Linked DNA regions of Mus musculus: regions 1, 2, 3, 4, 5 and 7 are each reported to be linked to region 6. Evidence: microRNA targets listed by miRTarBase, many of them from high-throughput screens and not tested one by one. Region 6 holds a microRNA gene; each other region holds the end of a gene's coding sequence.

Region 1 (4,066 bases), not on the chromosome of region 6:
AGACATCATGACCAAAGACTCTTGCCCTTCAACAAATGAACACCATAGGCTTAAGAGGTCACTAAACAAACAGAAGATCTGGGGTTAGAGTGAGGGTCATGTCTCTTGCTGGGAGGGGAGGAGATAAAAGCAGACCAGACTCTTGTAGCCCAGCAGTTCCTCAGTCTACAGAGCAGTGCTTAGCACTGGGGCAACACCTCGAAGACAGCCTGACCTTTCAGATGTTCACCCAACTGAGGCTTGCCAGAGCCACAGCATGGTGACTGGATTTCCTGTCTTCGTGTTATGCAAAACAAGCGACCACCAGCCCTTAGAGGTCAGACCGTGGGTGCCTGTCAGGACGGAAGAGCCAGGTTTCTTTCCTACAACAGTGGAATAGCTCAGGTTGGCTCTGGCTTCCGAAACAATGGGAGGCAAGGCTTCTCCCACAGTGAAGCCCGACCGCAGCCCCCTTCAGAGATGCTTTCTTTCTTTTTTCTTTTGGTTTTTTGAAACAGAGTTTCTCTGTTATAGTCCTGGCTGTCCTGGAACTCACTTTGTAGTGAACTCAGAAATTCGCCTGCCTCTGCCTCCCAAGTGCTGGGATTAAATAAAGGCGTGTGCCACCACTGCCCAGCTTCAGAGATGCTAAAGGAACACTTTGGTAAGGCTCCAAACCTTACCAGCCCATGCGGCAGAATCTCTCTTTGACAGCCTCTCTAATGTGTACTCCCCAAATGGCAAGCAGGACTTTGAGTGCAAAGCCCCAGAAGGCATGAAAAGAAACCTAAACTAGAGTTGGTTGTCAAGGAAAGCAGCTGCCTTCTGCAAACAGTGTAAGGCTGACTGTGGTCTGCCATGAGATTACGGGATCATGGGAGAAAACATCGTGCCCCACACGTTCTTACAAAAGGGGGGCTCTGCAGGGGAGGTGTAAACGTTTGTCCCTCTGTGTAAGTAAGCCTGGAGAGACTCAGAGACAAATAGCAGGACACCATCCCACAGACCCATCTGCGAAGCTCAGTTTTTCCGCCACAGGGACCCTGTGCAACTCTGGGTGAGCTGCAGAGGTGTTTTCACCTGCAGGTCCCCTCAGAGTAGAGCCCAGAGACAATGTGCTGAGGTGGGTGCTCATCTGAGAAACTGGCCCTTGAAGACAGGCACGAACTAAAGGAGAGGTCTTGCTGGATAGTTAACAAGAAGCTGGCATCTGAGTTCAGCCTGACCTTTGACCTTTGGAGCTCCTGAAGTAGCAGGACCTTATTTTTATGCTCATAGTAAAAACAAGTGGAAAATGTGTAACAGTGAGATTGTAGGCAGGGATGACCAAGAAATTCCAGCATGCTAAGGCATGCTAAGTCATCCGGCATGGGTCTTGTCAAGCTTAAGAGGGCTCACTGAAAGCCCAGACTACAGCCACCAAGTCCCGTCTCCCGCTCCTGTACATGGAAAAGTCCACAAGCATGGGTGAAGGATGGGGCGCTACCCACCCAGGACGTGACGCTACCAACACACAGCTACACATCAGACTCCCAGATCTCCAGAGCCTGTCACAGAGGTTCTTCAGTAAAATGTCACCTGGCCAGGGCTGCTCCTTTTAGCCTCAATGGGGCCACATGACCTTGGGTCAGCACACTGCAAACCAGTCTGGAGAAATACCAAGGCAGCGGCAAACCAGAAGGATGGGGCTCTGGGGCTGGGGACACTCGTCAGGGAAGGTGAGGCTGAGAGTCTGCCTTTAATAAAGTGGAAACAAGCTAAGTTTATTAGTGCTAAGTTTAGCACTAATAAAATTGAAGGCTATTATATATTTAAATCTCCCTTAATAGATTTCCATATAACTTTGATAAACACAACACCAACACACACACACACACACACACACACACACACACACAGCATGCTGTTTAACCAGGAACATCCAACTGAAACAGACAAAAGCTGATAGGACATTTTCGCAGGTTTGGTGAACAGGGAAGTGGTCTCTACTTACAATGACAAATTCAACATTCTCATGTCAGAAACCACAACCACAGTCTTCCTCACTGGAGATAAACCTCAGAATGTACCTACATCTCTAAAGTCAATCGCCATGACCCAACAGGTCCGGGAGTAACCGGCTGGCAAGGTCATGCTACTCAGCTTTCACTATGGTCTTCTCCTGGCTCCAAGCTACTAAGGACTACAGCGAGGTCTGGGCGTCCACCAGGAGCCCTCTTGGGCCTGGGAACATTGAGATGCTTAGCCCAGGGATGCTCTGACACTCCCCTGGACAGCTACCAGGAGGGCTTCAGTGAGCTCAGGCGCTCGCTTGCTCTAGCAGACCCTTATGATGCCTGCACCAGGGAGGAGGGCTAACAAGGCTGGGTGGGGCTTAGGGCTCTGGGTTCCTTTTCTCTTTTGTGCAGCTTGAAGGAGGAGGTAAGCAGCTTGCTGAGATTGAAATTAAAAACAGAAGAAAATGGGAGCTGAGGGTGCAGAGCCTTTCAACCCCGGGTATGTGAAGCCACACTGAGACAAACCAGCTGGCATAAACAGCCAGCCTCCCCTCCCCAAGGCAGGAGAAGAGTTCAGGCTGGCTCAGTCCACAGTGCCTTTTAAAAAACCATTTACAGAAAATAGGAATCAAGCCACTTAAGACGTGTAGTCTCTGGGACAAACTGTGTGACCTGGGCAAAGTATTTAACCTCTGTGGTTCCCGGCTTGCTCATCTGTCAGTCAGTACACTCACTCAACTGCCCTTGGTACGTCCGACCTGGTGAAGTTTTACAAAACTCTTTCACACTCTTCTGTGCATCTGACTCTTACAGTAGCTCTATGGACTGGTAGGACCACTAATCCCACTGTATAAACAGAGAGAGAGAAAGAGAGACAGACAGACAGACAGACACTCAGGAGCTGACTGGACCTTCAGGGCCTCACTATGTAGCCTCGCCACCTGCAAGTGCTGGGACTATAGGTGTGTCCCAACTGCCCAAGTCCATTGCTTTTGACATCACAGCACCAGCTGGTTCTAAACTCTTCCCACAATCTCTCGTGTCCTTTCTGCAAAGGGTCTCTGCTATCAACGAGGTAGTGATCTAAGAACATGCCATTAACACTTTCCTAGCGCAAAACACTACTTTCCTAGGGGGTGAAGAACCATCACACAAGAGATTAAACCAGCGCTAGATGTGAGCCTTTTTAAGAAACTCCTCGGGCTGGTGTGTTTCCCTGTGACCTTTGACCTTCCTCCCCTTTCCTTCTCTTATCCACCCACACACAGAGGGTAGGAGAACCTGCCTCATAGTGACAACAGAGGACATAAAGAGTGAGCTTTTTGAATATTTGGGTGTTCTTTTTATTACTGACAGCTGTGAGCCCTGTCTTGTTTACAGGTAAAACTCTGATGAACCGGCTGGGAGTCCTGACTGCTGCATGCGCTGTCAGGATAGGAGTCACCCCCCCCATTCCCCCGCCCCCCCCCCGCCCCGCCCACCGGCGATGCTTTCCCATTGCATTGTGGCGCACTAACCTGCTTTGCCCATTTCCCCTTTCCTCAGTGATCCTTCAGCCTGGTACCCAGCTTTGAGATGAGGCCTGCTTAGCACCAGTGAAGTTCCCCACATTCAAACCAACAACGTTCTGTGTGGAGATGAGGGAGTCAAAGTTAAAATCCAACCCGTCAGCATCCATGAGTTCACTACGGATGATGGACTCCATGTCACATTCCAAGCTCCCATTGAACATGTCCAGGTCCAAGTCACTGGGGAACTTATCGTGGCCCATGACGGGAAGGTTTGCACTAGCTGAATACAGTGAGGAGCCTGAGAGAGAGTCCGAGAGGGTTTGCATAGACTGGCTGGCGGGAGACTGCTGCTGGTGTTTGGCTGAGCCAAGGCTGCTGGAGTCACTCAAGCCCATGTTGCTGACAGAATTTGACAAGGCACGGCTGCCACCAAGAGCGCCCTGGGTTTGGTGCTGGTGGTGGAGCAAGTTCTGATTGACCAAACTCCCCTGGGTAGGCTGGGCAGCAAAGGACATCATTGGATCGTTGCGAAGCATCACGTTCCGGCGGGCATTCTGGGCGGACACGGCGGTGCTAGCC
Region 2 (4,062 bases), not on the chromosome of region 6:
CGTGAACAGGGAAGTTCTTATAGGGTTGGAGGGATACCTCATCTTTCAGGGTCTCAGTAGGGATGTTAGAGTGGGTGAAACACTACCCTGTGGGTTTAACATTGCTGACACATTCCCACACTCACCAAAGCCTTTGTTAGCTGGATAAGACTTGGCACTGGATGGGGAAGGGCCTTGCAGCACCCCGCCCCTCTCCAAGGAGTTACGGGCAATTCATGGTTGCCAGGGGGAGTCGTTTTCTTCAATGGTGTGACCAGTGGTGAGGTGCCCCGTGCTCAAGGACATAACCCTACTGAGTGAATCAGCTCAATGGATCACAATGAAACAAACCAAAAGGGTGGGAGAACTGGGGGTGGGAGGGGCTTATGAGGAAAGAGCAGGAGTGATTTTATAGGTGGTGATGGGGAACGTAAAATGTCCCAAACACTCCATTTGCATGTTGTCAAAGGAATAAAGGCTATACAGCAGGGAGAATTCTACCTTAGTTATTAAGGGGAAAAATAAGATTATTCCTCCTTACCCCTCTCCTTTCCCTCCTCAGGGCCTCCGAGGGCAAGACCGTGGAAGTGCCTTACAAAGGGGACGTGGAGAACACCATTCTGGATATCCTTGGAGGACTGCGCTCCACCTGTACCTACGTCGGGGCTGCCAAGCTCAAAGAGCTCAGCAGGAGAGCCACGTTCATCCGGGTGACCCAACAGCACAACACGGTGTTTGGTTAACCTCGGGGATGCAGACCTCAGTGTTGAGCCGAGTGGAAGCCTCCTTTCACCATGCTTCGCCCCTCCCCTCCTTATCTGCCTTGGCAGGCTGGCTGCTATCACAGATGCTGAGACTGAGTCCTTGTCCTGATCTTGTAGCCCGAGACCTTGGGGCTTGCCCTAGTGCCTGTGTGGGGCCCAGGAGCAGGGCGCTCGTGGGGCCCCGGGTCAGCTCCTAGAACTCATCGCCTCCTGGTGTCAACCAGCCCTTGCACCCTCCTTTCTGTCCGCCGTTAGTTTTCTTTCTAAAGGACAATGGTTTCACTTTTAATATAATGCTATGATCTTGACTGAGTGCTGGAGTTTGCGTGTTCAGGACCACAGTCCTATAGAGCCTCATAAGCATTGGGAAAGCCTGCCCAGTCAGGTAAGTGAACTTCAGTGGTTAACACACAAGGCCCTTGGTTGGGGAGGGAGTGTGGTGTGGGGCTGAGCAAGAGCCTACAAAGCTCACAACCCACCTACTGCTACCTGCAGCTTTTTGTTGCTGGGAAGCAAAAAAAAAAAAAAAAAAAAATGCAATGAGCAGGGTCGCAGGCTCTCAGGTTGCAGGGTCAATGGACATGAATTGTCCAACCCTGTTAGCTTATCTCCCAGCCTGTTCAGAGCTGCTAGCAAGCTCGACCTGTCCTGGGATTTTGTGTAGTATGTCAGATACGCAGTTGATCTCCAACTTGTCAGGCTGGCTGGCCCTCTCTCTTTTTTAAAGTCAGGATCTAGCTGGTAGCCCAGGCTGACTTCGAACTTGCAATCCTCCTGCTGCAGCTCAGCCAGGCTGGCCCCTCTCCAGGTGTTTACAAACCATCTTGAAGCCTCACAGATGTTTTATGAAAAAGCCATGAAGAAGCCTTGCTGAAAACCAAGTGCTCTGAGGCCTAAAGGGGCTTAGATTGTGAGTCACGGAAAGTCCCTTGTATGAATACTTCCTGGGAAGTAGCTATGTAGGAAGGTGGCCATTATTGGCTGGTAAGAGAGACTCTGTCTTGGAGGAAGGCCCTACTTAGCCCAGGGAGCTGCCCTGCAGTGTCAAAGCATTAGTGTTTCTGAGAATCGGGTGGTTTTTCCTAACAAGGTTTATCAGCAGGCACAAGAGTGTGCCTTTTCTTTGAAAAAGCAAATACGACATTCCAGGGAGAAGAATGGTATTGCTGAGTGAGGATCAATTAATTGTCTGGTGCCTACCATATCTGATGATGTAGCTACACCATTACATGGGGGCGGGGGTGCCCAACCCATTACCAGTCAGGTACTATACGACTGTACTTAACGTTTGAGAAGAGGGCACTCTGACCCCTCCTCCAGCCTTCCTCCCAGAGCCCCCAAGCATTGCTCTTAGACCTGTAGAAATATGAGTGGCATACTTGGGAAGGTTGCGTGCTGGATGTATTCATGACTTTTCCCATCACAATAACCAAATTCCCCTGAAAGGAGCAACTTAAGGGAGCAAGGGTTTTTTCCAGTGAAAGTTCAAGTGACACTGTCCATTACAGTAGGGAGTGGCCGGCATCTGTGACTGGGAACACAAGGCTGCTTGCTTACATCTCTGCAAACTATCAAAATCCTGTTCCATTTGGTTTCCTGCCTCCGTTACCCTCACCCTCTATCTAGTCCAGGTCCCCAGCCCGTGGGGTGGGGCTACTCAGCTAATCGTCTCCAGAAACACCCTAACAGGCACACCTATAATTGTATCTCCTTTGTGATTCTAAACCTTTGTCTGCTTGGCAGGATGAATCATCACACATGTCGTTGCAAGAAAAGGGGTATTCAAGGCAAACAGGATATGGCACTTGTGTAGAGGACCCCCACACTCTGTCTGCCCTATCTGTGTCTAGTGTCAGCCTCCCTTGATATACCTTATGGAGGATGTGTTTCATATTTAAGTCAGTTTAATGAGCCTAGAATAAGTAAGAAGGAAAGGAAGTCCTAAGTCCTTTCAGGTGGACTGGCATCGGCAGGTCTCTTCAGACCTGTGCGTTTCCCCCAGATTCTCAATATGATACCTCAACAGCTCAATATAACATTATAGGCCTGGTCCCTGTGTTAAATTAACATTGCAGCATGCATCACTGTGGGGACATGGCCCCAAAGGTTCCACATAGCACATGCTCTACATGGGTGCTGCTTCAGGATGGTCTTGGCCTGGGCTTCGGTTTCCCTCTCCCTGCAATAACAAATGCCACTTTGCTCTGTAAGGATCCTTGCAGACTGGTGGTTTTATGTAGCCAAAGGCAGGCCCCTTGCTATCTAGTTCTAAGCAAATGAAGGCCACACGTGCTCTTGCAAAACCCCAGGCACCAGGATTATCTTGAAACAGAGGCTTCCTAAAAAGAACACACATTCCCTTGGCTGGAGCAAGTCAGTGATCAGAATGAGCCTAGAGGATCTACTGTGAGAGCATCCTTCAGTCCAGGCAAACAACACGGACAAAGAAGGCTTGTTGCCCATGCACGGAACTTCCTGTGATGGAATGGGAGCAATGGTGGCAGAAGTGGCTATGGTTATGAGAGGCTGCCTGCTCACATCTCTGCAGACAGGGAAGCAGAGACATAAATGTCCCCATTTCCCTATTAGGTCATAGGTACAGGAGGGAATTCTCTTTGGAAGGCAAGCACAACCCTGGAACAGGGGAGCATGAATCTTGGTCTTGGACTGGAGCAATGCTTCTTAGAGTTTCAAGGCATGTCTCAGAGTATCACAGTAAGCTATGTATTTTTCCTAATCAGCCTTTTGAATTATCCTAGCCGTAGGATAACTGTTAGCTATAAACAGTCTGCTATTAGTATCTAATCACGTGGGCAGGCAGAAGGCTTGCCCATTGCATACCAGGAACAGCCCTTCTAGTCTGGTTCAATGAGGCTTCCTGGCATGCTACTTATTTTCCAGCATGCTTAAAATACAATGTGTAGAACCCCAGACCCTCGTTTCAGGAGTCACATGCTACTACATAGTCTAGGCTGCCTGATTTGTTACTATGTAACCTAGGCTGCCTGATTTGTTACTACGTAACCTAGGCTGCCTGATTTGTTGGGATGAGTCCTAATTGGATAGCTCAAAAATACAAGAAAGAAGAAAATAGAAGCAAAGGGTTCCCATTCTTCCTTGGCCAAGTGAGAACTCTCAACTATTTCTGGCATCTTCTCCCCGGTGTGAGCTCCAATTTCAATTAGAAGAACGACATCGGCACGTGTGGATTGGAGCAGGGCATACCTGGGGATTTGCTGCTGCAGGAGTAATGATTTTCCTAAACCACCACCAAGCCACACCTTCCCAAAGCTGAGCCCAACACCAGCCTGTGCACAGT
Region 3 (4,066 bases), not on the chromosome of region 6:
TGAGGAAGATCTGTCAAGTAGTACCAGCAGGGCTGGCCTTCGTCCTAGACATCAGCCCGGTGGCACACCGCGTGGCTCTCTGCCACCTGGCCGGTTGCCAGGAGCAGGCGGCCTGGTACCACACCCTTCAGATCCTCTTCTTCCTCGTCAGCGCATACTTCTTCTCGTGCCCTGTCCCCGAGAAGTACTTCCCCGGTTCCTGTGACATTGTGGGCCACGGACATCAAATCTTCCACGCCTTCCTGTCCGTCTGCACGCTCTCCCAGCTGGAGGCCATTCTTCTGGACTACCAGGGACGCCATGAGATCTTCCTCCAGCGCCACGGTCCCCTGTCTGTGTACAGCGCCTGTCTCTCCTTTTTCGTTTTAGCTGCCTGCAGTGCGGCCACCGCCACCCTCCTGAGGCACAAGGTCAAGGACAGACTGATTAAGAAAGATTCCTGAGGTCCTTCAAATGAGGAAAGGTGTGGAGGTGGGCTACTGTGACTTGGAGAAAACTTGACCCAATAATAGAAGTTGACTTTTTATTTTTCAGGCTTGATTTTTTTTCTAAATTAATATGTATTACGGGCTGAGGATGAAACTCACATTGGTAGAGAGTGCTTATACAGCATGCAGAAAGCCCAGGGTTTGATTTCCCAGGGCCACAGAAGCCAGGGGGAGGCACAGGCAGGAAGATCAGAAATTCTAGGTCACCCTCTGACATATAGTGAGTTCAAGGCTAGCCTTTGATACATGATAGATACCATATCTCAAACAAAATTATTATGTATTTTCAAAGGCATGGTATGACTATGGAATTTCAAATGCAGGCCATTTGAGAGTTTTAAAACAGTGCGTTCATTTTTCTGTCTGGGTGATAGCCTTGTTTGGGAAGAGATCTTGGCTAAGATTCATGAGACCCCAAACTAAGGAGAGCCATCTTCACCCATGAGCAATGAGCAGAATTCTGGTTGTAGCTTCCAAAGAGTAGTCCTGAAACTAGACAGATATTTAAACTGGACTGCCAAGTATAACCTTGCCCTAACAGAACAGCCACCCTCCGCGCTGCTGGGCTTGGTGTCTGTGTAAACTGACCAACGAACTCTGTCTTATCAGGATTTCAGATTGCTTTGGGTGGAAAAAAACAGAATCTTCAAGAAGTTTCCTTGAAACTCTTAGACAAAATGGACTATTCAATTTATCATTCCTGGTCTCGACCACTGGTTCTTCTCTCAGGATAACCAACTAAGCTGGCCAATTTGCCTGAAGTACTACTGTTCTCATCCCTAGTCTGCATGGTAACAAAGAATCCCGAAGCTATTACCCTTCCAGGAAATGCTTGGAGCCATATGAACATTCAGGAAGCTGATTCCCGCGTAATACAGAGGTATCGACAGATTTAACAGTGCCAAGAGCTGCCAAGAGACCCAGCCAGCAAGCACGGCTACCCTTGCCTGCCTGCTGCCCATGGGACCCTTGTAGTTTATATCTGAGGACAGCAGTATTAACTGCCAGCCACTTAGGGTTGTCTTGCAGGTCAGGAGATTGGTTGTCTGAAGGTTTGAAGAGACTCCTTTACAAGCATGGTTCTAAAGTTCTCCGAGAAAGCAGACTATGTCAAGCGGATCCTAAGATCCAAGGTTCAAGCTGCTGTTAGATGCTGCCCCGTGAAGGACCAACGCAGCTACCCCAGTTCAGAGTCCTCATGAGGCAGTTCCACCTCCGACTTGAGAAGAAACCTTAAAATGGGTCCTAGGAGGGGTGAATGTGTGCTCACCGTCGTTGGCCCCTGAAGGTCCCTTGAGTAAGAACGAGGCACCTGATGGCCGAAGGCACTGTCCGTGATATGGCTGCCAGCCCCTGATGTGAGGGGAGTGGTGCTTGCAGCTGAGATGTTCTGGCCACACAGCTCTCCCCGAGGACTGTCTTCTGCATGAACCCAGTGGAGGAGGCTGTGTTTGAGGAAGGGCTGAGGTGCCCTCTACTCGCAGGCTGCACTTCCTATCATTATAAGGTCCCTGTGTACTAAAAAAGGAAGCTAAAGTTTCCAACTCCAGTTAATGAACCTCCTCTTGCTAGTCTTAAAACCTTTGTTTTCTATATATATATTTTTTGTGCGAGTGACTTGTGAATTTTGTGCCTTATACATGGGAATGTCTAAACTCTTTTATTTTAATATATGCACACATGGAATTTTTCTGTTTTGTGTTCTTGGGACAAGAAAAAAAAAGGAACCCCCAAAAGCTAGAGTGACCTGTCAATCAACTATTAATCTGTATGTGAGAGGGGTCAGCAGCAGTATCCCTGCTGCTTTTAAATCAAGAGAGCATGTGTCTCCTGCACTGTTTTATTAGATGGGGTTCTTGTTCATTCATGGTCAAGAAGATGAACGCCTATGCTAGCCAAATGACCCAAGGTTCTGATTGTCTAGGTCAAGTTCATGCCAAGGAATGTTAGCAAAACTGAACGGGTTTGGACTGAGCAAAGACTTCTTAGGGTGTGTATGTGTAAACGCTCCAAGTAGAGGGTCTGTTTAAAATGGGAACCAGAAAGTGTTAGAAGTTCTGCTGTTGTGGATTCAAAGACTGTATTCTTTTAAAAGTTGGTGGGAAACGTGAGAGAGGAAAGGGATGAGGAAGGCGGTCTTCTGGTGGTATCTGTGAACAAAGATTTTTTTTTTTCCTTTTTCCTGAGATCAGATCTCACTGTATAACCCAGGCTGTCCTGGAAATCCTTATGTAGACCATGCAAACCTTGACCTCTAGAACTCTATAGAAATCAAGCTGTCTCTGCCTCCCACATGGCAGGGCTAAAGGTGTGGCATTCTGAGTCTTGTGGACAGGGATCTGTGGTATTCAATGGTCCTGCAGCCTAGGGTCGAGCTGAACTCTGTTCCTCACAAGTCTGTGACACCCGTGACACCCGTGACACCCGTGACGCCCGTGAGAAACGTGAGATACTGGCGTTCAGTTCCTAGTTTAATTATACAACTATTGCTAACTATGGACTTGGGAACTGATGAAAAAGAAAAAGAAAGTGATTTCTATGGAGTTGGGACTTGAACCTAAGACCTGCAACATGTTAACAAAGAGTTCTCCCATTGATGTGCACCCCAGGCCAAGCAACCGTGTATTTATAATAGATATTTGGGGAGGGCACTGAGGTGGGGGGAAAACACCAGTATCTAATTGGAATAATGCAAATGCCTTTACAAATGCATACACAAATGGGTGATTTTTAACTCTTCAGAGTCCTCAAACAGTGTCATTAAAATGGGCCTATCAGGATGGTAAAGACTAGGCTAGTTTAAAAGTAACAACCAAAAATTGTAAAGAGGAGTATGCATGCCTCTTGATTTTACAATGGAGTTTGTCACCCTGCAAAATCAGCATAATGTTTAAAAAGGTATAAGGGAGATAGTTTATCTTGCTCTCCAAAACTAGAAATTTTGGTTGTTGCCTCTCTTAGTTAAGACTTTCAACCCATTAATATGTAAACGCCTCTGATAAGATTAAACCATCAGTCATCTATACTTTCTCATGAATAAGATTCTTGTGGGTTGATATAAGGCCCCACTTAGTTCAAGAAGAGGATACACTGGACATGGGGGGCTTGTTTCTCATTTCAGAATCCTGACTTTTGTTTGACGGTGAAGGCTGTTTTTGTTGTTTCTTGTTCAAGGTGTTTGTTTTGTTCGAGATGGACCTCACTGTGTATCCCAGGCTGGCCTGGAACTCCAGATGGATTCTCCTGTCGCAGTCGGCCAAGGAGCTGGGATTCCAGGCTGCACCAACACCATATCCAATTCTAATAAAACTAATTTTAAAGTTCTTAAAGATGTCAGGGTTACAATTTCAGCTCTTAAGTCTCTCAATAACAATAGTGTAAGCCATAGACTGGAAGCTTGAAATAGAATTCAGAGCCCTGACAGGAGGGTAGTTTAGCCCTGTTTCGGTCGCCCTCCATTTGTTTGGTTACTATTCTGTAGTTCCACCTGCATCCTCCAGAGGGTGATGTTGTCACTCTCAGTACACTCAGAGCTTGTTGCCAAGGCTTCATGGCTAGATCTGTGTTTTGCTTGGTTA
Region 4 (4,066 bases), not on the chromosome of region 6:
ACTGAAGTTACAGAGTAAACGGGGTGGGGGGCTGTGCGTACGGCAAGCACTCAGACCCTACTCTCTCATCCTGCCTTTGGCGTCTTCCCTGGAACCATTCTTGAACACAGATCAGAATCTGGCTGCTTAGAGCCAGCCAGCCTCCCATGTCGGGACTCCAGCAAGTCCTCAATGCAACTTACTCTCCCAACATTTCCATTCAATCTGGTCTTCCTGGAAGAACCAATGCACACGATTGTATTCAGGAGTAGGGGAGAGATAGGGTCTTGCCAAAGTTGGCTTGTGAGGTGGTAATTATTTGGTCATTGACTGGTTAAGTTCTACAAAGGCCAAAATTGGATTTGTCTTGTTTCTAGCCTTTTTCAGTCTGGGTAGAGCCTGGGGTATAAGAAGTATTCACTTGACATATGAATGTTTATGCAATAAATACACTTTCAAAAGGGCTTTGTGCAGGGTGGGTTTTTTGTTTGTTTTATAACATGAAATCACCCAACATATCAATATGACACAGGGACAGTTTAAGGGTCACACAGAAGAGAAGCTGTGCTTTTGGCAATATTCAATAGAGGTTGCAAAGCTCTGGATGCCACGTGCAGATTAAAGCAGCCTTGGCTTATAAATGGCTTCCCAGTTTTACAGATCATTTTCCATCTGAAAATTGATATTAAAAAATAAACAAAACAAACAAAAAACCACCACACCTTTCTTAGGCTCGAGAGGCAAGAGTAAACTGATGGAAGAAACACTGGCCATCTTGGTAAGGAGGAGAAATACAGAGAGCCTGTTGGCGAGCCACGGATGTGTCTACCTGCTCAGCATCAAGTGCCCCAAGGCATTCAGCCAGGGCAGGGGAAGGCCGGACTCTCCTGCTGGCTTGTGTAGGAGTGTTTCCCACCAAGTCCAGCATCCACAAGGTATCTTGCTTGCCAGCGGACACTTGGCTGACCTTGTATTGCAAAACTTGTACACTGGAAAGGGGACAGAGGTTTACTCTTATTGTGAGTGAGAAGGCTTTTCTTGGGACTTCCTAATTCTACCAGCTGCCCATCCCAGTTTCTAAACAGCATTCTACAGCTCTCAGTTTGGGGTGCCATGGTCTGTCTCCAACAGTTTCACAGTATTTGTGTACGATGGACAGTGGAGCAAAAGTGCAGAACAGCTTCCTTCAAGGCTAAGAGTCCACCAAAGGACCACTGACTCTGTCATGTGACCTGGCCACCTCCCCTTGCAGCCTTGTGTGACAAGCTGTGCCGAGGATATCAGCACTGAGCTTGTATGCTTGGCCTAAGGCCCTGCTTGGAGAGACAAATATCTTTTAACTCCATAGACAGGGCTTTCCCACTACCTTCAAGGCTCACAAAAGTCCTACAAGGCTTTTCACTAATAAAGTTCAAGCAGTTGTCTTCAAGAGTTCATGGTAAGGATGCTTGTGGGAGGGGAGTTTGGCTTCATTTAGGAAGATTAAACACTTTGAAAATAATTGTGATTGTGCTCTTTCAGATTAGGCCTGGAAGAAAACACTGTGTCTCATAAGACAAATCTGTAAAGGGCAGGAAGTTATTTGAGTGGGATGAAGTTCTGGGGTTTTGATGTCTTGACACTGCACATGCAAGAATCCAAACAATGAGCCCAAAAGCAGACACCTAAAGGAAACTAGCAGCTGATGGTCTGGCTTTCTAGGAGTTAACAGGCAGGCAGGCAGGCAGGTTTGGAGTTGGAATAGATTAAAGTGGACCACGAATGGTTCTGCTTGGAGGTGCCTCAAGTGTCTGACACCGTCATCCATCTTCTGGATTCTAACTGGAGCAACGTTGATAGAATCCAGTGCATACAGCTAGTGCACACAGCTGGACCACTGGTGGGGGTGGATGTGCAAGGCAGCTGTGGTCAAGGTTTGATGGCATCAACTTTACCATGTGGAGTTTCTCTTGGCATGAAAATATCCAGGCTCTGCCCACAGGAAGGCTAGCTTCAGAGTACAACAAACGTACGGCCATGACAACAACTAATCACCCCATCAAGTCATCCATGTTTTAGAGACATGTCACCATTTGTTTGTAATACAGTGCTTTCTGGTGGTAAGTTCATGGTTATGGTGTTGTCTGCAGCTTCTCCATTATTGTTGGGATGGTTTCATGATTGGGTTACTGTGTAAAACCATGATACCCACAGGGACCCAGACATTCAGCCTTTTCCAGAAAACTGAGGGTTTTCTTCTCAGGGTTAGGGTACCCAGATTCAAGGAGGAAGAGGAAGAGGAAGAAGGACAGAGAGCATCAGTGATGACAAAGGGCAATACACTTGAATTAAAATGTGCAAAGTAAAAATCACCTTATTTATGACAACAGGTGACAGATAGGTCCTTGTTCATGAATGCAGAGGCTGGACATCTCACTCCCTAGGGTTTGGCTCTCTTCTCACCTGGTCATCAAGAACTGGGCCCTTGGACTTGGATGAGAACTTGCTGGTGACTGCATTTAGGGGCAAGACTGAGGGGGCTTAGGCCCCCTTGTCACTCAGCTCCCTGTGTGATCAGGAATCAGTGTGGCCGGCCCTGGCAGTGGTGGCAAGGGTGAGGAAAGGAGCGTAATTCTGCCCCGTGGGAGAATGCGGGGTGGCACAGCTTCTGACCACCGGTCACTGTGGGGGCCTCCACGCTGCTGGGAGAAAAGGTCCCAGCTTCCCACACCAGCATAGCAGGAGTGGGCGAGATAAGGAGGGCCCATAGGACCACCAGGAAAGCTCGTGGTGGGGAGCAAGCAGGCCAGTGCCCAGTACACGGTCCTGAAATGGATTCTGCCTCAGGCGGGCTGACAACAAGACCCAGGAGGGCCTGGGGCCCAGGGAACAGGCCATCCAGATGAATAGCACCCATAGGAACAGAAAACAAGACACGATTTAAGGCATTGTTTGTTTACAGTAAAAGAACTCAAGGGACCCTTAACACGGAGCTTCTGGACTCCCTTCAGACTTTTCTTAGAGGACAAGGCTGTAACTAAAGCTTCAAGCAGGGACTCAAAGCCAATAAGTGTGTGATGTCACAAGTCTTGTGCCAAAATGTATGTTTCTCAGAGCGTTCACACTCACTCGCTCACACACACACACCGCGCGCACACACACACAGGATGCTTTAAGGGTATACAAAATCGGAGGCGGCCCTGTGGGTGAGTGGCCGGTGCACTTGGGGTGTAACAAGCCTGTCCAGCAGCCCGTCTCTGCTTTCCAGCCCTCTCGAAGATTAACGCCATCCACTCTGTGTGCAGCAGAAAGCATGGAGAACCCAACATGGGTCAAATGCTCCCCTGATGCAAAAGCAGCTGGTGGACAGACGATGGCCCAGAGAGGGGGCATAGGGTGCGCAGTTTGGGGTCTGACAGCCACCCGGTGGGGTGCTGCTGCAGAATGATTCATGAGAGTTGCTGTGGGTTGACAGGTGGATCTCACACTGGGGAGCCATCCAGGACTGTGAGGCCATGGCCATATTCCTCGAGTCCAGCGATGAGGCTCCAGTGCCTTGGCCCACAGCTTATGCCCAGAGCTGCTCTCCTCCACAGACCTAGTCTAGGCTCTCAGAAGCCTTTGCAGTCTCGCCAAGTCCTGCAGATACTCATTCAAAGGACATAAGGTTTGCAGGTACCTAGAAGAGAAAGCTCACCCTTCTGTCAAAGTTTCAATCCACAGAAAGGGATAGGGGACAGTTCCTACAGTTAGGGACATGCAAGTATGGGGAGGGAAGAGCACGGCAATGACTGCTGCCACTGGGGAGTAGCTACCATGTGCCAGGCATTACGCTGACTACTTCATATGCACAGTTTCTGGAGTCCTCACTTGACCTCTATCAGGTGGACGCTGGAAGGGTCGCCATAATGAAGATGAGGAGACTGAGACTTGTACAGGCCACACAGAGAGTTAGAGCCAGGGCTGAGACATTTGCCACCACTATCCCCTGAGCCAAGGCAACTAACTGGGTTTATGGTATGAAGGATAGGCTCTGCTGAACTAGGGTGAATGTCTCTGGAGGGGAAACTAGCCTAGAAGGTGGGGGATGTCTTAAGGGATGGCAGGG
Region 5 (4,066 bases), not on the chromosome of region 6:
GTGGGTTTCCTCAATAATATGGCCTGGGGCATCTTAGGGACCTGCCTCAGGCATCTCTAAAAGGAACAGCTGGATAAGAGATGTAAAACCTGTATGTGTGGGGAAGGCCGGCATATGAATGGATTCTCAGATCAACAGCTTTCTGAAAGCACTTCCTTTTGGTCCTGATAAAGATCAATTGGAGCTACTTAGAATTTTAAAAATACTATACATGTATATATGTATGTATATACATATATATGTGTGTATATACATATGTGTGTGTGTGTGTGTGTGAGTGTGTAGCCACCCAAGTCCCATGTACGCGTGAAGAGGCATCCATCCCAGTTTATCCTCATCCTTGCCTCTTGAGTTTGAGCTAAACATTACTAAGAAAAAGTGCAAGTCTCACATTCTGCCTGTAAGCTTTAGTTACTGCCACCCTGTGGGATTAGGTGTGTGTCTACGGTGGCGAAGACATGGGGCCTGCTTTACCAGTAAACATAAATGGGTGAGCCGCTGGCTTCCTAGTCTCCTCTATTAAATATTGCTTCTGTGTTTATAGAACTTCGGAAGAAGCAAATGCAGGCCAAAAGGCTGATCTCCAGGAGATGAATTTGCAGGCCGTGTGTTTTATCATCCTGGAAATCTGTGAGACAACAGATAAATGGCCTGCCCGGGACTGTTCCTTCTAATACTGTAAACCTTTACTCAAGAGCCCCATGGGATTCATCTGTCAGTATAGCCTACTGTCAGTTGCCTAAATTCGCTGCTCTCCAAACTGAATACTAGACTTCTAAGCACTCGGCTTCCCCCTGTATGAGCTGTGTCTTCACAGTAGCTGCTTAGTCAACGCCTTAGAGCCAGGAGACAGCATAGCATGGGCAGTCAGCTAGAAAGCTACAACCTAAGCCGCCTCCCTGTGCTGAGAGAAACGGACTAATTTTTATGACCTTTGCTTTGGCTTTTATACTAATTCCTTAAAGAGGCCCAGCCTCAAAATCACTAGTTGTGTGTGTGTGTGTGTGTGTGTGTGTAAAAACATTAAGAAAGCAACTTCTCTTTTGAAACGTAGTTAAATATAGTTGAATTAATTGTTTTGCCTATACTATTGGCATCTACAAAATGCCCTTGTGCTTGCCAAGTTCCAAAGTTATTTATGAGTCTCTGATCTCAGTTCATTCTCACAGCCGGTAGAAAAGGAAGGAAAGATGAAAGGAAGGACTGAGAAGCCGTTTGGAGCTGAAACTAAAAGCTGGGATCTCCAGCTTCGCCAAAAAACTAGTTAGGATTTGGAATGACAAAACCATAACCTCACCACCCCCTGGCAGTCATCCAATGCCAAGTCTGACCAGTAAGATCCCAGTGAGGACATAGACCTCTCCTCTGCCACTGTATCTCGGGGTACCATTCAAGCACAGCCTGAGAGCATAAGGTCACCAGGAGCCAGAACCTTCTCAGGAGGCCTCAGAGAAGTGGGAAAGGTCACCTTTGGCCTGCTTCACCTGTGGCCTAAAAGGCCACTGAATGTCACCAGACAAGACAGAAGAGCAGTTCCTGAGTCCCAAATGGCATCCTTGCAAGCAGTGTTTAAGACAAGCTGACGACTGCGGCCTGTCTGTTCTCTCTCCTTGTAGCTGTGAGTATTCCTGTGGACGCTACGGTGCAAAATGGATGAATTCAAAGGAGATTTCAAAACTCAAACTAAGCCAGTGGCCTGCCTACTAAGACAAGCAGAAATGAGAAGCCTGGGGTCAGAGAGGACTCCGGCTTTGAACAATTTAGTTCTCAGGTAAGAATACAGAGTTACTTCATGTAATCACTTCTAAAAACAGTCACACACCACAGAGACAGACAGACAGACACACACACACAGAGAGACAGAGACAGAGACAGAGAGAGACAGAGATCGATTTGGTGTTAAAGCTGCCACCGAATTTCTATTCCGGTTCATTGTGTTGCATGCAGAGGCCAGACTTCCAGAAAGCTGGAGCCTGCCTCCGTGCAGTTTAGGAAGCCAGCTCTTACATCTGCATAATAAAGTTGTTGTTGTTTATTCTACATAAAAAATGTTCGAAATCATAAACTGACTTCAAATACTAAGAAGCCATTTTCCAGCTGCAACTTTGCCTGCCACTGCCTTGTCCTGAGTCACACCCTGACCCACCACCTCTATCCTCTCACTGACCATGGTACGAAGACTGGCTATGCAGAAGTCTTTGGCATGAGCGCTGGCAGGTCTGTGCCGGATTCCCCTAACATGCAACACTGGAGAGATGCAGTGGCTTATTATGCCAAACTCGTTCCTCTCATCACGTCCAGGGGCCTATTAAACATAAAGAACCATTACCAGCACGGCACTTAGAAAGCCAAGTGGCCTTGGGGACAACTGCTGGTGCCAGGTGCTAAACAGACTACCCTCGCAGAACTCAACAGAGCTGCCTCGGAAAGTGGAGAAGTGCAATGGGACTCGCTGCGACCCATAGTTCGGCAGTACACAAAATAGCCAGCTTGCATTTTAGACGATTTATTGCATAAAATAGGGTATGTATCTGAATATATTTCATGCTACTGTGGAAAAAAAGTCTGAACTGCTGACCCTGCTGGGAAAAAGACTAGCTGTGCGTGACACTCCGTACACAGTGTAAGCATCTCTTTTCACCAACCTCTCCAAATACCTCAGTAGTACACGGCTTCTGGCTGCAAATTCTTGCAACATAACCACTTTTAAAAATGTACATTAACTTGGTAAACACCAGGGTACATTGCCAAATACCTTTCTTGTATGACTCTGTGGACACTCAAGAGTGTTTCCTTGGGCATGGTAGCCATCCATAGGTGACAAGACAACATATAGAACTTCACACGACACGGTTCCCTCATCCATATGTTAAACATTGAGATAGTGCAACTCTTAAAACATACCATCACAACACAAATCACTTCCTCTCACTCGTCTAACTTCTCCAACTTTAAAACCTTGGCACACCAAACAGGAGTTTTGACTCATATTTTTAAAACAAAATAAGTTTCACACCTTTGGAGAAAAAGCAAACTGGCTGATTCTTCCCCATGATAATATATAATAATTCTTCCCTCTTTATTCAGTTAATTATAAAACAGGCCACTGTGGCCTCATTTATCCGCAGTCTCCTTTTGGAATCAAATATGTCAAAAATACCTCTGTGGGTCTTACTTTCATGATGTCTTCAAAGCAGCCTTTTTTAGTTTTCTCTGCACACCACTTAGCCAAGATCATACCATCTCTAGCCCTTGTCTCCATCCACCCCCTGCCCCAAGGTGAACACTGTCTGTGGTCAAACTGGATGGAAGTTTGAATCGTGTTTCCATCTTGTTTGCATGCAATTCCCGTGAAAGGAAGCAGAAACGAAGACCGTGTTTGCACATTTGGTTTTACTTGGCTGTACCAGTAAAGCTGGACAACACTGTGGCAGTGGGGCCAGCGGGCCTCTCTCTCCCTGCCGCGGTTTCTCTCTCCTTGAAAAGTGCACTCTAGAGGGAATCAGACCAGGTCCCCCGGCTTCCTGTCTTTGCCCTTGATGGGTACTATTGTGCCCTCTGAGTTGTTCGGCTGAAACTGTGGTCTGCTGCCCCTGTGTGTGTTGCTGTGCTGGTGATGGAAGAACGAGGTGCCTGGGTAGTGGCCCATCACCTCGCTGTAGGTCGGGGGTGGCCCCTCCATTCTTCCGTTACTGCTACAGGTAGCTGCGCTGATGCCCGAGTGGCTGCTTGGTGGGCATGGTCCCCCGTTGTACATAGAAATGTCTATCAAGTCACTGTCAAAAACGGTTCGATTGGGCGGGGCCCTCACGGACTCTCGGTTGAGTTCCATCTGCTGCTCTGGGTCCCGGAGCTGTAGCGTGCAGGGTCCTTGGTAAGGAGGCGGCTCCTCCCCGTCTGACAGGGAGATGGTGGGAGGCAAGTCAATCTCGTGCTGCACATAGGGGTAGGTGGGCTGGAAACGACTGAATGGATCCCTCTGGATGAAAGATGGGGTAGTAAACCTATCCCTGCCCCGTGGGGCACACATGATCTGGAAGGAGAAAGGAAAAGGTCTGAGGAGATT
Region 6 (4,066 bases):
AAATTTCTATCATTTTCTCTTAATGGGCTGGGGGCAGGGATGCTTCATGTAATCAAACATAGAGACCTTCCGAGTGGCTCCCCAAAGCTCTGGATGAGCTCAAGACGTCAGTACTCACCCTAATGTTATTTATTTATTTTTTTGCTTACATCTTTTCCTGGGCTCTTGCCTCTTAGAAAACCATGGTGGATATTACAGCTCTGCAAATTTTCTGGGATGCGAATCTCAAATTTCCTTAGACGGAGAGGGAGTCCAAAATCCTCTTACTCTTAAGAGTCAGACATTCTGAGATTGCCAGTGTTATTCATGTTTAAGTCTGTGTAAATAATTGAGCTTATTAATGTTTGAAGTAACACAACCCCATTTGCACTCTTAACGGAAGGCAAACTTGTTTTAGAAATAGTAACTCACAGTTCACTTACTTGCTGTGTGTGTGTGTGTGTGTTTATCCAGGTGAGTCTGCAGATCTGGCAAAGAAGAGTTCGTGGAAGACTTCAAGGTTACACTCCTGGAGTATGCCTTGGCCATGTCAAAGTGCTAACAGTGCAGGTAGCTTTTTGAGTTCTACTGCAGTGCCAGCACTTCTTACATTACCATGGTGATTTAATCAGAGGCCGCTGAGTCCCCTGGTTTCTGCATAGTTAGATTGTGGATGTTTTTGAGCTGCTCCTTGTAATGTGTCTCTTGTGTTAAGGTGCATCTAGTGCTGTTAGTGAAGCAGCTTACAATCTACTGCCCTAAATGCCCCTTCTCGCACAGGCTACTTCTTACCTTGCATTTGAAAAGCATATCTTGAGAAATGATTTGAACGGCACAAGTTTCAAAGGCTCTTTCAGTGTTTCGCCGAGAAACAGATGGCGGAGACTGTAGTATACAGTTGTGTAGAAGAACAAGCTCGGATCCTAGTAGTGCCAAAGTGCTCATAGTGCAGGTAGTTTTTATACCACTCTACTGCAGTGTGAGCACTTCTAGTACTCCTGGATCAACCAAGGTCTTGTTGAAGCAACTACAGCGCAAGGACATTGCTACTTACGATTAGTTTTGCAGATTTGCAGTTCAGCGTATATGTGAATATATGGCTGTGCAAATCCATGCAAAACTGATTGTGGGAATGTGTACCTTTCTGCATCGTAATGGACACCTTTATGCACATCTTCAGCATCCATGCCCATTCATCCACAGGTGGGGATTGGTGGCATTACTTGTGTTAGATATAAAGTATTGCACTTGTCCCGGCCTGAGGAAGAAAGAGGGTTTTTAATCGTCTTTTAGTTTCTGAGTATTGTAAGTTATGTTAGACTGTAATTATGAAATGAACTGTTTTGCTGTTATCAGGTGGAACACGATGCAATTTTGGTTGGTGTAATAGGAGGAAAATTGCACGGTATCCATCTGTAAACCGCAGGACCTATGTGGACAGCCGTCTATCAGTGCTATAGTAAGATTGTAAAATCCTTTAGCTAGTCATTGCTTTGAACACATTTGGAGTGGATTTTTTTTTTTTTTTTTTGGTTTTTCAAGACAGAGTTTCTCTGTATAGCCCTGGCTGTCCTGGAACTCACTCAGGGTGGCCTCGAACTCAGAAATCTGCCTGCCTCTGCCTCCCAAGTGCTGGGATCAAAGGCGTGCGCCACCACGCCCAGCTTGGAGTCTAATTTTTTAAAACTACATATTTTTAAATATATTTGAAATCCTGACATTTTGATTGCACTGAATGTAAACAAACCTGAAATTTGCAAAATAAAGCTGATATATAAGTCTGAAAAAAAATGGGTTTCTTTTTTCTTTTTTAAAAGATTCTATTTATTTATTTATTTATTTATTTATTATATGACAAGTACACTGTAGCTGTCTCCATAGACACCAGAAGGTGGCATCAGACCCCATTCCAGATGGTTGTGAGCCACCATGTGGTTGCTGGGATTTGAACTCAGTACCGCTGGAAGAGCAGTCAGTGCTCTTAACCACTGAGCCATCTCTCCAGCCTGGGGCTCTCTTTTTTTTCTCTCTTTTTTTTTATTAGGTATTTTCCTCGTTTACATTTCCAATGCTATCCCAAAAGTCCCCCATACCCACCCACCCCCACTCCCCTACCCACCCACTCCCCCTTTTTGGCCCTGGCGTTCCCCTGTACTGGGGCATATAAAGTTTGCAAGTCCAAAGGGCCTCTCTTTCCAGTGATGGCTGACTAGGCCATCTTTTGATACATATGCAGCTAGAGACAAGAGCTCCGGGGTACTGGTTAGTTCATATTGTTGTTCCACCTATAGGGTTGCAGATCCCTTTAGCTCCTTGGGTACTTTCTCTAGCTCCTCCATTGGGGACCCTGTGATCCATCCAATAGCTGACTGTGATCATCCACTTCTGTGTTTGCTAGGCCCCAGCATAGTCTCACAAGAGACAGCTATATCTGGGTCCTTTCAGGAAAATCTTGCTAGTGTATGCAATGGTGTCAGCGTTTGGAAGCTGATTATGGGATGGATCCCTGGATATGGCAATGGCTCTCTTTTTAAATTAGCAATACTATTGGCTTTTCTAAAATAGCGTCTTGGTATGTAGCTCTGGTTAGCTTGGAACTCAATTTGTAAACTAGGCTAGCCTTGAACTTGCGGAGATCTGTGTGTTTCTGCTTCTAGAATGCTGAGATTAAAGGTAGGCACCCCTCCACTCCTAGACTTCCAGCATTTACATACATTTATCTATCTATCTATCTATCTATCTATCTATCTATCTATCTATCTATCTATCTACTTATTTAGTGTGTGTGTCATGTGGTGATTTGAGAACAACTGTAGGGAGCTAGTCATGTGGGTCATGGACATACATCTTAGATTTCTTAGGCCCGATGGCAAGTGCCCTTCCCCCACTGAGCTGAAAACAAATTTTATAGGGTATGTCTTGAAGGAACATTTGAATATAACTGGAATTTAAGTTTGCGTTGAGTCTTTGGTTTTATCACTACTGAAAACCCTGCCAGTCCCATCTCCAGAGAGTGACTGTCATCAGGTGAGCCCTCAGGATTTGCCTTTGTAACCCAGTCTCAGGTGCTGATGGTGCTCGCCCAAAGAACTATAGGTTAAAAAAAAAAAAACGCCCGGTTCTATTTTAAGTTTCAAATTCATAAAGTTGAAAGGACTCAGGCACATTTTTTACCCCACTTTCTCATTCTGTTTCATGTGTTAATGTTAACACTGCCCTGTCTTTGGTAAGTGGAAAAACTAGGTAGGTATGTGTTGGTTTTACCTATCTGAACATTGAGTTCTCATCAGAAGGGAGAGGTATCACTATGTGTCATTCTTTGTGCCTTGGAATTTCCCAACTTTGAAAGCCTTTTATTACTTTTTGGGGACCTCATTACATAGGTTCAATTTAGTTAGAATTTTTTTACTGAATTATACTTCACCTTTGAGCTAGTTCCCTAAGCTTCCATTTCATTAGGGAAAATACAGTGATAACATTGGTCCTACACCAGTGAGGTGGGGCTTCTGTTCTCCTTGGGAGGTGAAGAGTGGTCAAGAACATGGATTTTAACTGCTGTGATGACATGAAATCTTAATGAAAAGAGATGGAGGCTAGTAAATTCTCTATTAAGTATGTAGGATTTTCTTAAGTCACTAATGTTTGAAGTAATTACAGAAACAAAATAATGAGATACTTCCTGTGCTATGACTTAGTATTTTATTGGTGCCTAATTGTAGTTAAGTTTGATGTGGTAGCAAAGACCTCCTTCCCTTCTAATAAAGTAGATTTAAAAAGTGGGGATTAAAGCTTATTTGTTATAATCTTTAGTACTACTAGGGGTCTGCTTTAATACAAGTGTATTGCCATTGGTAGTCCACTGGTACTTAAGGTGGCACGTATCCAGAAGGTAACTGTAGTTACTAGTTTTACTAGGCATGTCTCGAGGGGCTAGGGTAGATCACTGCCTCCTAAGAGTCCCAAGACCTTTGTCTGAAATTAAAATGATGGCTGATCTTGATCATAGGGCCTTTGCAAGTCTTGAAAATTAAATTCATTATTTTATTTTTGGAAACAGGTGGTTCCACCCCCCCCCCCATAGCCTTGG
Region 7 (4,066 bases), not on the chromosome of region 6:
AGCACGCTGGCAGAACAAGAACACGGAGAGCATCATTGAGCTGCAGAACAAGACGCCAGTCTGGAATGATGACACACAGTCCTATGTACTTAACTTCCACGGCCGTGTCACACAGGCTTCTGTGAAGAACTTCCAGATCATCCACGGCAATGACCGTGAGTGTTGCCACTCCCTGTTTTTGATGTTGTACGCATGGTGCCCAGCCCCCACCCCACCCCCAATCCCCTGATCTGGTCCATATCAGCCAGTGATGGGATGTGGGTATATGGCTTTTGTTAGAACTTTCTAACTGTAGTGATCTAGAGTCCTGCCCCTAGTGCCCTGCATGTCTGGGGCTTGGGAATACCCTTTAAATGGATGTCTTTTCTCTCCTGGGCCCTGCTGTCTGTGTGCATCTCCCCCCTTCACCCTCTTGCTTCATAATGTTTCTCTTGAACCTTTGTTTTGTTCATCCTTTCGATCTCTTTGGCATTTCTGCTTTCTCCTTCCCTCTTGTGGCCCATGTCTTACCTGGTCTCCCTGTCTCCACCATTCTTGCTTGTGCATGCCACAGCGGACTACATCGTCATGCAGTTTGGCCGGGTAGCAGAAGATGTGTTCACCATGGATTACAACTACCCACTGTGTGCACTGCAGGCCTTTGCCATTGCTCTGTCCAGCTTTGACAGCAAGCTGGCCTGCGAGTAGAGGCCCCCCACTGCCTTTAGGTGGCCCAGTCCGGAGTGGAGCTTGCCTGCCTGCCAAGACAGCCCTGCCTACCCTCTGTTCATAGGCCCTCTATGGGCTTTCTGGCCTTACCAACCAGAGACTGGCTGCTCTGCCTCTGCTGCTGAAGCAGGGGGGACAGCAAATGGGTATGACAGGAGAAGAATATTTCTGTGCCCCAAGGTCAACACACATGCCCAGTCCTGGGTCAGTCCCCTGCTGCAGTGGTGTTATCACACCGGAAAGCCTCTTCACCTGGAGGTACAGAGGGAGAGGAAGCACAAGCCTGGCTGCTGTGGCTCAGCCATCCACTCAGCCTACGAGTCAGAGACAGTGGGTGTCCCGGGAAGCAGGGGTACAGTGAGTGTGTGTGTATGTACAGGGCACTCAAGCTGTATGTAGAAAAAGCTCTGGTGGTCAGCAGAAAGCACTCCCACTTCAAAAGGGCCCATTAGGCCCAAAGGGGGTTAGGAGTGGTAGGGATAGGTGCGTGGCAGGTCCCTGCTAGGATTGCAGGGGCCTGGCCATGTGTATTAGCTGGAGGCTTAGAATGCTAGCTCATTTGTTGCTACAGATTTGCCCAGTGCTTGCACACGTAAGAACCCAGCTCTCAAGGCCAAATATCTGAGTGGATGGGGATGATAGGAGTCATCCAGTAGACTCCCTACATCAGGGCTCTCAGCAGCCCCAGCACAACACCTATGACACACACACAGGATCTAGGTCACCATTCAAGTAATGGTATGCTTCAGGAAGAATGTCCTCTCTGGGAAGACTCAGCTCCCATTATTGCCAGCATGCCATGATCAGTGAGGGCTGTGTGCCATGCTTAGGGGGATGGCGCAGGGTGAGGGGAGCAGAGGATATTTTAGGGCCACAAGAGCTCAGAGGTAGCGGACCTCTGTGTGGTTCACCAACAGCAATGCTGATCCCTGAGTATAGGGCACATGTCTCTTGGTTACCTCACTGGTTAATGGCAGAGTTGAGAACCTCAAATTCTTTTGTTCCTACTGTTGCCCAGAAACTAGACTCTCTGACCTGCTAGGGTCTATTCTGCATGTCCTTTCTCTTCCCAGTTCCAGAGATGAAACCCCTCCGAGTTAATGTATAAGGTTGGAAACCTTTCAGTAGGGAATCAGGCAGTTCCCTGTTGAAAGTTGTCTGAGTTTTTGCACACCATTCTGATCTGATGTGGCCTGTGCCTGGCTCCTCTATGAGGACTTCGAGCTGTGCACAGACCTTAGCAGGACCACTGCACACTTTGTGTCTGTGTGACAGGCAGCCCAAGGGTTCTGGGGCTGGGCTTGGACACGCCCTCCATTGGGATGGCACCACTCATCTGGTGGGCTTGGGAACTCCAAGCTCTTGCCTGTGTGCCATCTGTGAGAAGCTTCTTGGAGCTGAGACACCAGAGGGAAGCAAAGAGCATTTAGACATTGCTTTTTGCTTTGAAATAGATATGTTTGGAAACGCTAAGTAGAAGTTTAAAAAGTAGAGTCATGTAGAGTCATGCTTTGAATATGTGGGTCATGCTTTAGATATGAAGAGGCTATGCAGGTAAGGAGGCTGGATTGATGTAAATGGAAGTAGTACTTTAAGAAAGCTCTAGATTTCCCAGGTTGGACACTCGACGAAAGGCACACCTGCTGCAGCAGGTTCTGACACACCTGAGCCATACATTGCCATCAGAGAACCCTCAGCGAGGTAGCCTTTGTTTACAGTCTAGTTTCTAGAGGGCAGTAGGACTTCCATGCTGGGGCTGGCCTATCTCCTGATGAAAGATTACAGTGCCATCTCCTTCCCATAGTTCTGTGTCTGCCCTCCCTCCCTGACTTTATAGGGAGAAATCTCCTGACATTAGAGGTGATAGAAACCAGAGCTTTAGTCTAGTCAGGCTGTTTCTCTGGGTTGACAAGTTTAAGGTTGAACAGGCTGATTTCTGGAATCTCATGAGTGGAGGGGACCCTGGTGGTTAAGAGCGGAACTGGAAGCACAATGGAAAACTCTTGGACTCTGCTCTCTGCTTTACCACACACAAAAAAGAGGGTTCTTGGCTATTTGAATATAAAGTTGGTAGCACCAGGAAATAGGCTGAACTTTGTAGCCCACTGTGGAAAGGAGCAGCCTCAGCACAAACCCCTCTGTCGGGCCCTGAGTGACAAGACCAGCCTCACAAGGTCAGATTTTAAGACTCAGCTCCTGGTGATAATGCCTTTTCTTGACCACTGGCGCTGTGAACACAGGCTAATGGACTTCAGATACCAGGGCCCCGGGATCACCTGGGTTAGCCTCTCCCACAGGAAGATCCCTTACCCCTCATCCCCTCTTCTTTTTGGTCCTTGGCTGGGTAGCAAATTGGTGAGAAGAGCAGCCTAGTCTGTAAGAGTGCAGGGCAGCTGGAACCTTAGGCAGCTCCTCTGTATGCTACCGGCTCCACACCCTAACACTCTCCACCCTCTGCTCCAAACCAGTTCTTCTGCAGAGTGGTGATGTTAGCTTCCCCAGCTCCTCTCCAAGTCTAGCTTTTTCTGTCCTTCTGGCTCCAAGGTGCTCTGTGTCTGTGTGTGTGTGTCTGTCTGTGTGTGTGTGTGTCGAGGAAAGGGCAATCTGCAAACAATGAACAGAAGTTTAAGATCACATCAGAGTAGGGAAAGACAACGGAGGCAGTGGTGACCACTGTGGACTGTGGATGGTGCCCCTTCATTCCATGCTCTTTCTCCCATGGTTCTGAGCAGGCGACTGTCAAGGAAGTGTGTTGTCAGTTCACTGGAGGAGGAGCTGAGATGTGCACCCTTTTAAATGAACATGGGGTGGTGATGGTGCCTTAACAATCTTGACACTAAGGTGAAGCAAGCAAGTAAGGTGTGTGCCTCTGGGAAGACAGGAGTCGGAAGCCAAGGTGTGTGGCAACAGTCTGGAAGAGAGCTTTTGGTAATCATACCGTCTTCAGTGACAAGGCAACAATGCTGTAAAGTGGGTTTGTTTGGTTTTGTTTTTTCTTTCTCTTTTATGGAAATGGCAGGTCTATTTGCCTCAAACGTTATGTAGAAGTAGTTCTAAGTTTAACAAGCAATAGAGATGACTGCTTAGCTAGGATCTGCAGGGAGCTCTGCTCTGCAAGCACAACACCTGTCTCATAGATGGACAGCCTGGTTTCCCTTCTCAGCAGTCCTGGCCTCCCCTTCTCTGTATTCCTTGCCCCAGCTACGATATCCTCATGGGATTTCAGGATGCCAGGTGCCATCAAAGCATGCTTTTTTGTGGTGCCTAGCACTGTGACTGGGGCCCAACTGCCCTGCAGAGTTGGGACCTTGCACTGCCCTAGACCCTGGCTTTAGATCTGCTTCAGTCTCCAGAACAG

The links. The annotated mature microRNA mmu-miR-19b-3p reads UGUGCAAAUCCAUGCAAAACUGA and lies in region 6 at 1,081-1,103, shown strand. An mRNA with a match to its seed (bases 2 to 7 or 8) in the 3' UTR can be bound and repressed. Matches are read on the target gene's strand: a 7mer-m8 pairs with bases 2 to 8, a 7mer-A1 pairs with bases 2 to 7 and ends in A, and an 8mer does both.
Region 1: the mRNA of Foxo3 is a reported target of mmu-miR-19b-3p. The part of its 3' UTR that is shown has no 7-base or 8-base seed match.
Region 2: miRTarBase lists Gmpr as a target of mmu-miR-19b-3p. The part of its 3' UTR that is shown has no 7-base or 8-base seed match.
Region 3: the mRNA of Paqr8 is a reported target of mmu-miR-19b-3p. The part of its 3' UTR that is shown has no 7-base or 8-base seed match.
Region 4: miRTarBase lists Ralgps1 as a target of mmu-miR-19b-3p. Seed matches in the 3' UTR shown: 8mer at 2,313-2,320 and 7mer-A1 at 1,870-1,876.
Region 5: the mRNA of Ldlrad4 is a reported target of mmu-miR-19b-3p. The part of its 3' UTR that is shown has no 7-base or 8-base seed match.
Region 7: miRTarBase lists Tub as a target of mmu-miR-19b-3p. Seed matches in the 3' UTR shown: 7mer-A1 at 1,293-1,299 and 8mer at 1,874-1,881.

What each region holds. Positions count from the first base shown.
Region 1 is chr10:42,192,973-42,197,038 of GRCm38, forward strand. Foxo3 (forkhead box O3) reads right to left here. Exons shown (of 4, transcript NM_001376967.1): 3 at 3,494-4,066. The coding sequence ends at 3,529. Among named protein-coding and RNA genes, the nearest start is that of Gm38485, 80 kb to the right of the region's middle.
Region 2 is chr13:45,545,332-45,549,393 of GRCm38, forward strand. It overlaps Gmpr (guanosine monophosphate reductase), which reads left to right. Exons shown (of 9, transcript NM_025508.5): 9 at 542-1,055. The coding sequence ends at 722. Among named protein-coding and RNA genes, the nearest start is that of Gm34582, 22 kb to the left of the region's middle.
Region 3 is chr1:20,935,246-20,939,311 of GRCm38, forward strand. Paqr8 (progestin and adipoQ receptor family member VIII) reads left to right here. Exons shown (of 3, transcript NM_028829.4): 3 at 1-4,066. The coding sequence ends at 443. The region is part of intron 1 of Gm51618 (a long non-coding RNA gene); the gene reads right to left. Among named protein-coding and RNA genes, the nearest start is that of Efhc1, 14 kb to the right of the region's middle.
Region 4 is chr2:33,134,073-33,138,138 of GRCm38, forward strand. Ralgps1 (Ral GEF with PH domain and SH3 binding motif 1) reads right to left here. Exons shown (of 20, transcript NM_175211.5): 20 at 1-3,637. The coding sequence ends at 3,608. Among named protein-coding and RNA genes, the nearest start is that of Garnl3, 5.5 kb to the left of the region's middle.
Region 5 is chr18:68,253,976-68,258,041 of GRCm38, reverse strand. Ldlrad4 (low density lipoprotein receptor class A domain containing 4) reads right to left here. Exons shown (of 6, transcript NM_172631.4): 6 at 2,493-4,033. The coding sequence ends at 3,503. Among named protein-coding and RNA genes, the nearest start is that of Mir7219, 5.0 kb to the left of the region's middle.
Region 6 is chrX:52,739,028-52,743,093 of GRCm38, reverse strand. It overlaps Mir19b-2 (microRNA 19b-2), which reads left to right and starts at 1,028; the gene lies at 1,028-1,111. It overlaps Mir363 (microRNA 363), which reads left to right and starts at 1,327; the gene lies at 1,327-1,401. It overlaps Mir92-2 (microRNA 92-2), which reads left to right and starts at 1,166; the gene lies at 1,166-1,256. Mir20b (microRNA 20b) reads left to right here and starts at 902; the gene lies at 902-981. It also overlaps Mir18b, Mir106a and Kis2.
Region 7 is chr7:109,029,571-109,033,636 of GRCm38, forward strand. Tub (tubby bipartite transcription factor) reads left to right here. Exons shown (of 12, transcript NM_021885.4): 11 at 1-155; 12 at 554-4,066. The coding sequence ends at 687. Among named protein-coding and RNA genes, the nearest start is that of Tub, 21 kb to the left of the region's middle.